Linked DNA regions of Drosophila melanogaster. The protein of the gene in region 2 interacts with the protein of the main gene of each other region in a pairwise test. Each region holds a gene or a part of one and is shown on either strand. Other genes may lie near its edges.

Evidence for each region. Proteins that work in one complex are often made in the same cells at the same time.
Region 1: the proteins of sens-2 (region 2) and OdsH interact in a two-hybrid assay, tested with the Drosophila melanogaster proteins (one large-scale study listed by BioGRID).

Annotation. Positions count from the first base shown.
Region 1 is NC_004354.4:17,789,500-17,794,051, reverse strand, and holds the start of OdsH (Ods-site homeobox), read right to left. Parts: upstream 3,043-4,552; 5' UTR 2,986-3,042; coding exon 2,604-2,985; intron 1-2,603.
Region 2 is NT_033779.5:6,820,219-6,824,944, forward strand, and holds the start of sens-2 (senseless-2), read left to right. Parts: upstream 1-1,715; 5' UTR 1,716-2,381; coding exon 2,382-2,841; intron 2,842-4,726.

The DNA of each region.
Region 1 (4,552 bases), on a different chromosome or scaffold from region 2:
ACAACTTTTTCAAATTTTTCTGCAGCGATAATTACTTGCCCCTCTTGTTTAGATTTTGCCAACATGCTCTGGGTTAGAGTATTCATCATTTGTTCAAATTTCTCTTCGACTTTAGCACTAGCGTCTTTATTCTGCTTCTTTGCCTCTGCTTCTCCTACAGGCGTCAACTTTTGATCTTCTTCGTTCATTTTTTCTTTTCTGCTTTCGTCCTCGCTTTCGTTCTCTAGAATTGCTTGTATTTGGTCGGTGTTAAGTTTTTTATTTGTAGGTGGTGTGCGTGTGAACATTCCGCGACAAGGCACTAACACCAGCAAACAACGACAATGTTCTAACGGCGCGACGGTAGTCGATTTTGCAGACGGCGCCACCGGTTAAAAGACAAATTTTGATTTTCGTTAGAAACGAATTTCACCACCTTTGCAATTTAATTGTTTTAAATTCCACAACAGCAAAACGACTTGAGTCTGTATGAGTTCAATCGATTTTTTCAACTTTCAATGCAGTAGACGTAGCCATAACTTTACAACTTTAAAGACTAAATCCACGCACACGACAATTTCAACTTTATCAGTTCTCTCTAGCAGCTTTCCCGACTTTTACCGACTTGTGTTCAAACAAAATCTGTACAACTGATTTTTCCAACTTTAAATGCAATAGATATAGCCACAACTTTACAACTTTTAAAGACTATACCCACGCACACAACAATGTCTTTTTTCTTTAAACAACTGCACCTTCATATAACCGATTTAGGACTGGACGAGCCCCCATGTAAGATTGTTTATTATTATTGTTTATTATTAATTTAATTATTAGTTTAATTCTAAATGCGGTAATTATGTAAAGTATTCTTAGTTTGTGACCGAACGACTGCTGCTGAGAACTCGACTGACTGCAACGCTGACTTCCACTCGACTCCACTGCTGCCTTGCGATCGTTCCTTCGATGACTGATTGTCGATAGCTTCGATTTCCGACAATCATGTTGCTGCTCAACAGCGCTGCCAACCGGGTTGTTGCCAGCCTTCAGCCTTACTCCATGTTACATACATATATTCTTTTTGTATTCTGTAGTTTCGGGGCCGCGACCGAAAACAATAAAAATGACTAATGGCAGCTAATTTCCCGTCGTCGTCGAGAAAAGTAGGAGGATGAGGCCCAGCAAGACGGCCAATTCGGAATCGGAATTGGATGCGCCTCAAAAGTGGTTCAATTGCCAAAAGACCAAAGACAAAGGGCGAGGTACGAAATAGGAAATACAGGCGTTTCCCGGATTGGGCGTGACCTGGGCAAAAAAAATATATAAAAAAACAAGGAGGAAAAGACACCGAAAGGAAAGCAAGACTTCACCTGTCACTGCTCATTTCCCATGCACCATTTCCCATTTCCCGATGCCAGGTGCCTCGTTCCATTCACAAATTGTGATTCCACTTTGTTCATTGATCTCAAGGCTTAGCAATATATTTAATCAGTGTAAGATAAAACTAAAATATATAAAAATAATATTTGCTTACAAAACGTAGTGCTTTGTTTTTTTGAAGAAAATGTTGATGTTTTTTTTTTTGGAAATGGTTTTGGTTGGTTTTTTTAAAAGTACAGCTTATTAAGAGCGTAACTTCTTAGAAAAATATTTGCTTGAACTGGCCTATAATATATTATCCCATTTTATTATGACATTCAACATTTTTTTAGTAAGTCAAACATTTTCCCACTATTTCAACTTACCTTGTCTACAATATGCTAATTTAAAGGCAAAAGGATTATCTCATCAGAAATGAATTAAATATCATCACCAACATAGTATGTATAAAAGCCCATTAAAGTTTTTAGTAATTATTCCAAAATGTCCTCTACATTTTAGCCGATCTCATCTAATCACCTACGTTTAGCGGTAATTCCCGGCAAGGACACTTCCGAAATGGCGTTATTTATGACCACCCACATTTTATGCCCGGATGTCCTGTGGCCCACTCATTTGTTCATTCATTACATTCATTAACTTTGCGTCGAGCTTGCGCAGATAATGGCATTTTCCAAATGGCCGAATTGGAATGGAAAACAAGTTTTCCGGCCGGGGCCTTTATGCCGCCGTGCACTTTATTCAATTTACCAATAAAATTTCAATCGAATTGCTCCTTTTAATCAATTCAGCGCCACCCACACACGCGCAACACACGCATTTAAATACGCGCATGCATAATTCGTGTGTTTTTATGTTTTTTGATCAATTTTTAATCAACAACAGGCGGCAGCAACAACAACAAAATCAACAACATTATTTGCCCGCAGGCCAGGACTTTCAATGTGTGTGTGTGTGCGTGTGTGTGTGTGCGTGTGTGTGTAGCTTTGTGTGTTTTTGCCAGCTTGTAATTGTTGTTGCGGCTTGTTGATTATTCACGTAATTAAATTTGGCCAGCAATTTCGTGTATTTTGGCCAAATGCGAAATGCGTAGTTTATAGAGTGGTTTTTTGTGCATGCTTTTATTAACCAGAGCTATGTTCTATTCATTATTTTCCATTGAATATTAGTTAATATTGACATAGAAATCGAATCAATCAATGTGAATAAGCTAGTAATATCGCCTATGAATTAATCAAACTTACCCGCGTGGATGTTGTGCGTGGGTGACACTGAGTCCAACTTAATACGCTGCTCACTGTGCGGATCCATGCCAAGCTCCCGATTGAGATCCCTTTGCTGTTGCTGCTGCTGCTGCATTGCCACTGCTGCGGCGGCCACTCTGGCTTGCTGTATCAGCGCCATTTGGCGGATCATATACACGGAGGACGAATTGGTTACGGAATTGGGACTAATTTCCGGATTTGGGGCATCCATGGACAAGTTGAGAACGGATGACCAGCCGCTCACTTGCATGTTGACAGCCGCTGCTGCCGCGTAAAGTTGCAAAGCGGATGAACCATGGGGATGTTGGACTTGTCCCCGAGCAGCAGCTGCCTGTTGCAGCTGTTGTATTAGCTGATCCATTTTCGTCTTAGCTTTTGATTAGCTCCCAATTTATGCGATTAACTCGTTTGCAATGAACACACACAATTCAATGCTTTTGCTGACACTGCAAATTAAACTAGTTCATTTTCCTTTAATATTGTCACCTCACTAGCTCAATGATTTCGATAACTCAATTCAACACTGACTCGATTGTTTCTTGCTTTCTTTCTGATATTCCCTCATAGCTCTTGGTTAGCCTTACGTTAACTGCAGGATAGTGTTTACTTCGGGTTAGCGCTAACTTCGCTTTAATCAGCAGGCTCTTTTGGTTAACTTCGATTTTTTTTTTTTTTTGTTGGGACTCAATTCACAAGGCACTAAAACACACACACACCGAAAAAAAAGGCGACAATCCTGGCCGCACAGTGGAACGTAGCAAGCGAAATGTGGCGTAGCGTGCACAGTGGAGCGGATCGGCGGCCCACTGGGCAAAAGGCTGAACTCAGTGCAGCGGCGGCGACAAACAAATTGATTCGAATTAAAATTACGGCCAGCGAGTTGTGGAGTTTTGTGGAGACAATCGCGAAGTCGGTGCGAGCGGGATGGCGCGACAGGCGCGTACAAATGAAAAATATGGAGTTCGTTTCGTCTTCTTCGTGTTTGTTTAATAAAAATGCGCATATGTGTGTATGTGAGATGGGGGCACCACTACAGTCAGTGGGAAAAATGGGGAAAAAAGTGTCACCAATGTTGGTTGGTTGCTCGTGGTTTGAGTCTGTGCTAAAAAGTGAGATGGCGACACCTGCTGCTGCAGCAACAACAACAACAACAACTACTGCAGCCGCCGCAGCGGCAACAACAACAAGCTCATTTTCAACACTTGACGGTCAGCTGCCGTTGTTGTAGTTGTTGTTCTTGTTGTTTTAGGGTCGCATGCGCGCAAACTGCAAGCAAAAATCATTAACGTTCAAATTTATGTGCGCCAAAGCGAGAAATAACAAAACGAAAAGCGAAAAAAGGCAGAGAGCCCAGCGGAAGAAGAAGAAGAAGAAGAAGACGAGACTGAAGCAGCAGCAGCAGCAGCGGCGGCGTCGACGTCGACAGCGCAGCCGTGGCAATAAAAAGAAAAATGGTTTCACTTAACAAACATGCCAAGGCGCCGTCCGCAAAAACCCACCACCCACTGGAACCACCCACACCACCACCCACTTAACCCCCCCGCGGCGCACGCTTAACCCCGCGCTGGCCCACAAATGGTCAATGCAATAATGGTATTTTTCTGCCTGACTAAATTGTGCGACAGAGAGGCAAGGCGGGTAAGAGCGAGAGAGAGCGGGATAAAAGAGAAGAGAGAGCGAGCGAGAGCGTGCAATGCGCAACAGGGAAAATGAAATGAAAAACGCCAAAAAAATTGATTTAAAGTGAATCAGTGTGCGTGTGTGTGTGTGACTGTGCGAGCGTAACCCACCAAAGAGCGCGAACGAAAGAGAGCGCAATAGTCAGAGAAGCCCGAGAGTGAACACGAGTGCGGGCGAGACATACATAGTTCAGCGGCAGGCGTGGCCACAGAAAAAATAGGGGGAAATTTCATATTAATATGATTATG
Region 2 (4,726 bases):
TTAATGGACGCACGTCAATCTCCTCTGCATATCAGTCAGATTTGTAGACGCTTCTCTAATTGGAAGTAGAGCAGATAGGGAATGGGATCTCTACCAATCCGATGGGAATCGGAGCGAAGAGCACTCCACTTGTTCACACTCCATCCTCGACGCACTAAATTTGGTGTGTAATTCTTTAAATCGTTGCCATGTGTTGGAGGAACGATGCCAAAACCGAGTGACACCAATAATCCGTAGCTGGGATCTGGGACGCCCAGAAAGATATTCAAATCTGTGGCGAAGACTGGAGGGACAAACGGGAGCTCATAACACTTATTTATGCGACCGATGAAATGGGAACATTAGCTCTTTGTGTTTTGTAAATATTTGTCATAATTTCGAGGGGCGCCCAACGACATGTGCGCCTCAACCAGACGATTTTTTTTTTTTTATTTTCAAGGCATTTAAAGATCCCCCACCACCATTGTGCATTTGTTTTCCGAGTTGTGCTTTTAATGTCGCAATTAAATGCATGAGTTTTTAAAAAAATTAGATGCCTGTCAAAATTGTCTAATTTATGGTTCACAGAAAGCTTTGTTCCAAAGTTGTCCCCCCAAAATTAAGAAGCTATTGGGGAACCACCAGCTTCTGCTTTTTTTCAGAATTTTCTGTTGGAATTTCAAACTGAAAATATTCTAATTTCTGCTAAGAAATGCATCTGCTTTAAACTTAAAGACTATCCCTATATTGTGTACTTTTGATTCAACATTTGGTAGATTTGGCTTATATATTCCTTTAAAAAGGTTGGCACAATTAAAAATGTATTGTTTTAATAATAGTTCCCGAAGGAGATCATCTAAATCTTCTCTGTTGTTACTTCTAGTCACGTATCTGCTGAGTAGTATGAAAACCAATTTCCCAGCATAGATAATGAAATTACACACTTGAAGCCATAACTAAATGGCAAACAATAAGAGGTGAAAAGCCCTTTGGCTGAATAAAATCAAACAGCCATGCGAAGTGGCAACCAACTTTGGCCCCCAGGAAATCACTTAGCCACCGTTCGCCGAGGCAGAAAGCATTTGAAGTTAATGGCGCAAAAACCAATCGCAAGTGCCAAGTCAGAGCTGCCAAAGGCAAAGGCGATTGGGGGATAGTCAAGTGCGAGGAATGCGACATTAGTGTTTGCCGAGGTGCCACGAACCACTTGAAATTAAATGGCGCGGCGCACTTCAAACGCCAGAGACAACAGCGATTACCAAATCGATGGCGGTTTGAGCTGATCTACAAAGAAAAGAAAAAGAAGATAGAAAATCGCAGAAAATCCAGAGAGCCCGCCCCCAAAAGCAGAGCAGGTATTACCAAACCAAAGGCCAGCAAACACGCGCCCAGCACACGCACACCACCCAACACCCATCCACTTCGCTAACCAACTCCCACCATCACCCACTTGCCACCATTGTTCGGCGGTGGCATTGATTTGAACGAATCAAAGCGGTATGCGCACTAAAAATACCAACAACAAGCTACCAAAAATCCAGATTAACCATGGCCAGCTGGAAAGGGGGCGTGGCCACGAGAATGGCAAATGGTGGTTGCTGTTCCGATTCCACTTGGACATTATTCCGCCGTTCCAATTGGAACCAGCCGTCGTCTCGCTCGCACTCGCATCGCCGCAACGCAGTGGTGGTGGTGATAGCGTTTCCGCTGAGTGGAAACTCGATTGCCGCTCCGCTCGTCAGTCGCCTGCAGACGCTCGCTGACAGCGGTAAAATCGGAGCAGCAGCAATCCGCATCCGAGCGGGCATTCACATCGAATCGTATATACAACGAGAGCCGTTCTCTCGCTGACGTCGCTGCCAGCGTCGACGTCGCTGCCAAATCTAGGCGAAAATCGCAACACTTGGCATACACAGCATATGGCACTTGGCCGCACTCCGAATCCCTGGCTAAAAGTCAAGTGCAGGAGCAGCAGCAGCCGCAGCAGCAGCAGCAGCGCCAGAAGCAGCAGCAGCTGCGGCGCCAGCAGAGTTTTCCAAGCTCGGCAGCAGAGATTCACTCTCGGTCGGGCGCCGGCGTCAGCGTTCCACGGATCCGTGATTAGGTTTTTACGGTGCTTCAGTCCGCTCGATGACGCCGAAGCCAGCAGTTATGCGCCCAGTAGCAGCAGCATCAGCAGTCAGAGCAGCAGCAGCAGCATTAAAGCCCTAAATCTGTGACACTTCCTTCCGGTAGCCACGTTGCGTATACGCCACCGTAACCGCATTCGCATGCCGTCGCGTAAAAACCAAACAGTTTCAGTGCCAAATCAAAAGAACCAAAGCCAGCTGATAAAAGCCTAAGCTAATCCAAAGATAAACATATAGAAAAAAAAAACTTATTGAATCAGTGATAAAACCGTTATGGACGTGGCCAAAATGCAAGCCACTTCCGGTCAGCATCTGCTGCATCCGGCCGCACCGCCCGCCCACCAACACCACCTGCCCCTCGACTACAGCCTGGGCAACTTTAAGCCAGCCATCGCGTCTGACTTTCCCGGACCCTTCCTCACCAGCCAGCAATCCTCGTCGGCCTCCAATTCCGCCTCCTCCTCCGCCGCCGCCACCGTTCCGCTGCAGGTGCGCGATCTCAGCGCGCTGACGGCCATGGCCACGATACCCTCGCCCACCCAGCTGCTTCACCAGCGCATACAGATGTCCGCGGACGCGGCCTTGGGCCACCACCAGCAGCAGCCGGCACAGAATCCCAATCCCAATCCGAATCACCCGCAGCCACAGATGCCGCCGGCCTCCACGTCGCCGCACGAGTACGCGCCTATGTCCGCCTTCAAAGCGGTGCTGCCCAAGAAGCGAAACTCCGACGGTAAGCCGGAATCACTCACTATATTTGCATGCTCAATCGTAAAAGCTTTGAAAATCCGTCAGCAATTGGGATTTTAGTTCTTGTCACTAAGTGAAATTGAGTTCTGTAAAATTTTGTTAAGTGCATAAATCGTATCAAGTTCATTGTCTCCAAATAATTCACTTTTGAATGTGGTTGATTGCTCATTTTTATATGTGATGATTTATATTTATTGAAATTCAGTGGCAAACCTGTGGCAATTTATTTATACAATCACTATAAATTGTATCAATAATTAATTACTTCGTATTTCAAAAAAAGCCTTCCACATATAAATATAGATGCATATTCCAATTGCATATTATTTATTCCATTTAGAAAGTTATCATTTTGTATTTCTAAAAAATTAAGTAGTCTCGTAAATATTTCAAAATTTTGCTAGAAAAATTCATCAAATATAGATTTTAATATTTAAATAAAATAATTCCTTAAAATTAAATCTGACCAAGTTTCTCAGAGATTTCTGAAGAATTTACTCTATTTAAATATTAGTAAATCAATAGATCGTTAAAAAAAAATGCAGTGAATGATATTCAGCGCATTTCTGAGTATCAACATTTATCAAATTAAATTTTTGTGCAGCCTGCGAACAGATTGGCATAAACCCAATCACACTCCCACCACATTTCATATGCCCCGAGTTAATTAAAAAAAAAAATGAAAACAAAAGGGACTGAAATCAACAACACAGAAACCGAAACAGAAACGGTGAGACTCCAATCCGCGGCGAGTGGCTACAAATCCCCCAAAGGCTGGTCAGCGGGCAATGTAGGAATTTTTAAAAATTTATTTGAATAATGTGTGATTTTAAAATATCACACACTGGCCATGTCCGAGTGAAAGCCCAAAGGCTGCACGGTGTCGGTTTAATTGGAAAAAAGCCCAAGTACGGTGGGAAAGCGTGGAAAGCAAAAATTGTTCGGGGGCAGCAGGAGCTGGCCGGGATATTCATTATTCCGTTTGTGTGTGTGTGTGTGTGTGTGTGTGTGTGAGTGAGCGCGACGCTTAATGGGCAAATCTTCTGTGCGGACATTGGGGCGGAAAAATGGATATCGGGGATTGAAAAATCCATAGCTGGACCACAGATACACAGATACAGATACGGCTGCGAACGGCAAACCATCGAACAAACTTGTAGATACACAGTTCAGTCCAGTCCAGTCCAGATACATCCACACACACAAGTGTGCTTGTGTATCTGTGTGCAGACGGCGTTGTCATCGCCATCGCTGTTGAATTTCAAATATGGGCATTGAATGAATGAATGAGCGTTCGCACGGGATCCACAAGCTTCAGTGTTGTCCGAAATGAACCGAACAATTTGGCTTTAAAAGGACTTTAAGAAATTAAATTCCTTATAAAATGGATTTCAGTATGAACCAATTTTGTTTTAATCTTTCACTAGCTAGATGCAGACAGCTGTGTCTCCTTTTTCCAAACTTTAAGTAGATTCGGACTTTTCCAGCCAAGCTGTCAGCACTGACCGTCATGTGTGTGTGAGTGTATCTCCCCTCTCTCAGTCTATCTTCCCTCCCATATTTCCCCACTCACACACACACACAGATACAGAATCAACACACACAGGGCAGCGACAAGCGGATTTCATTTACCGGCATTACATGTATCCAACGGATATGTTTTTAGCTCTCCACCGCTTCCAGCACAGACATGGATATGCGGAAAAGCAGACACACACACCAGACACACACACACACAGACGCACGCAAACACACACTCGCACACTGAATTTTCAATTCCGTTTGCCGCGACAAGCACCCCGACTTCCCCCCCCCCCTCTTTTCCAACCTTATTCTTTCTCTAGAGAAAATGAATTTCGCTTTGTTTG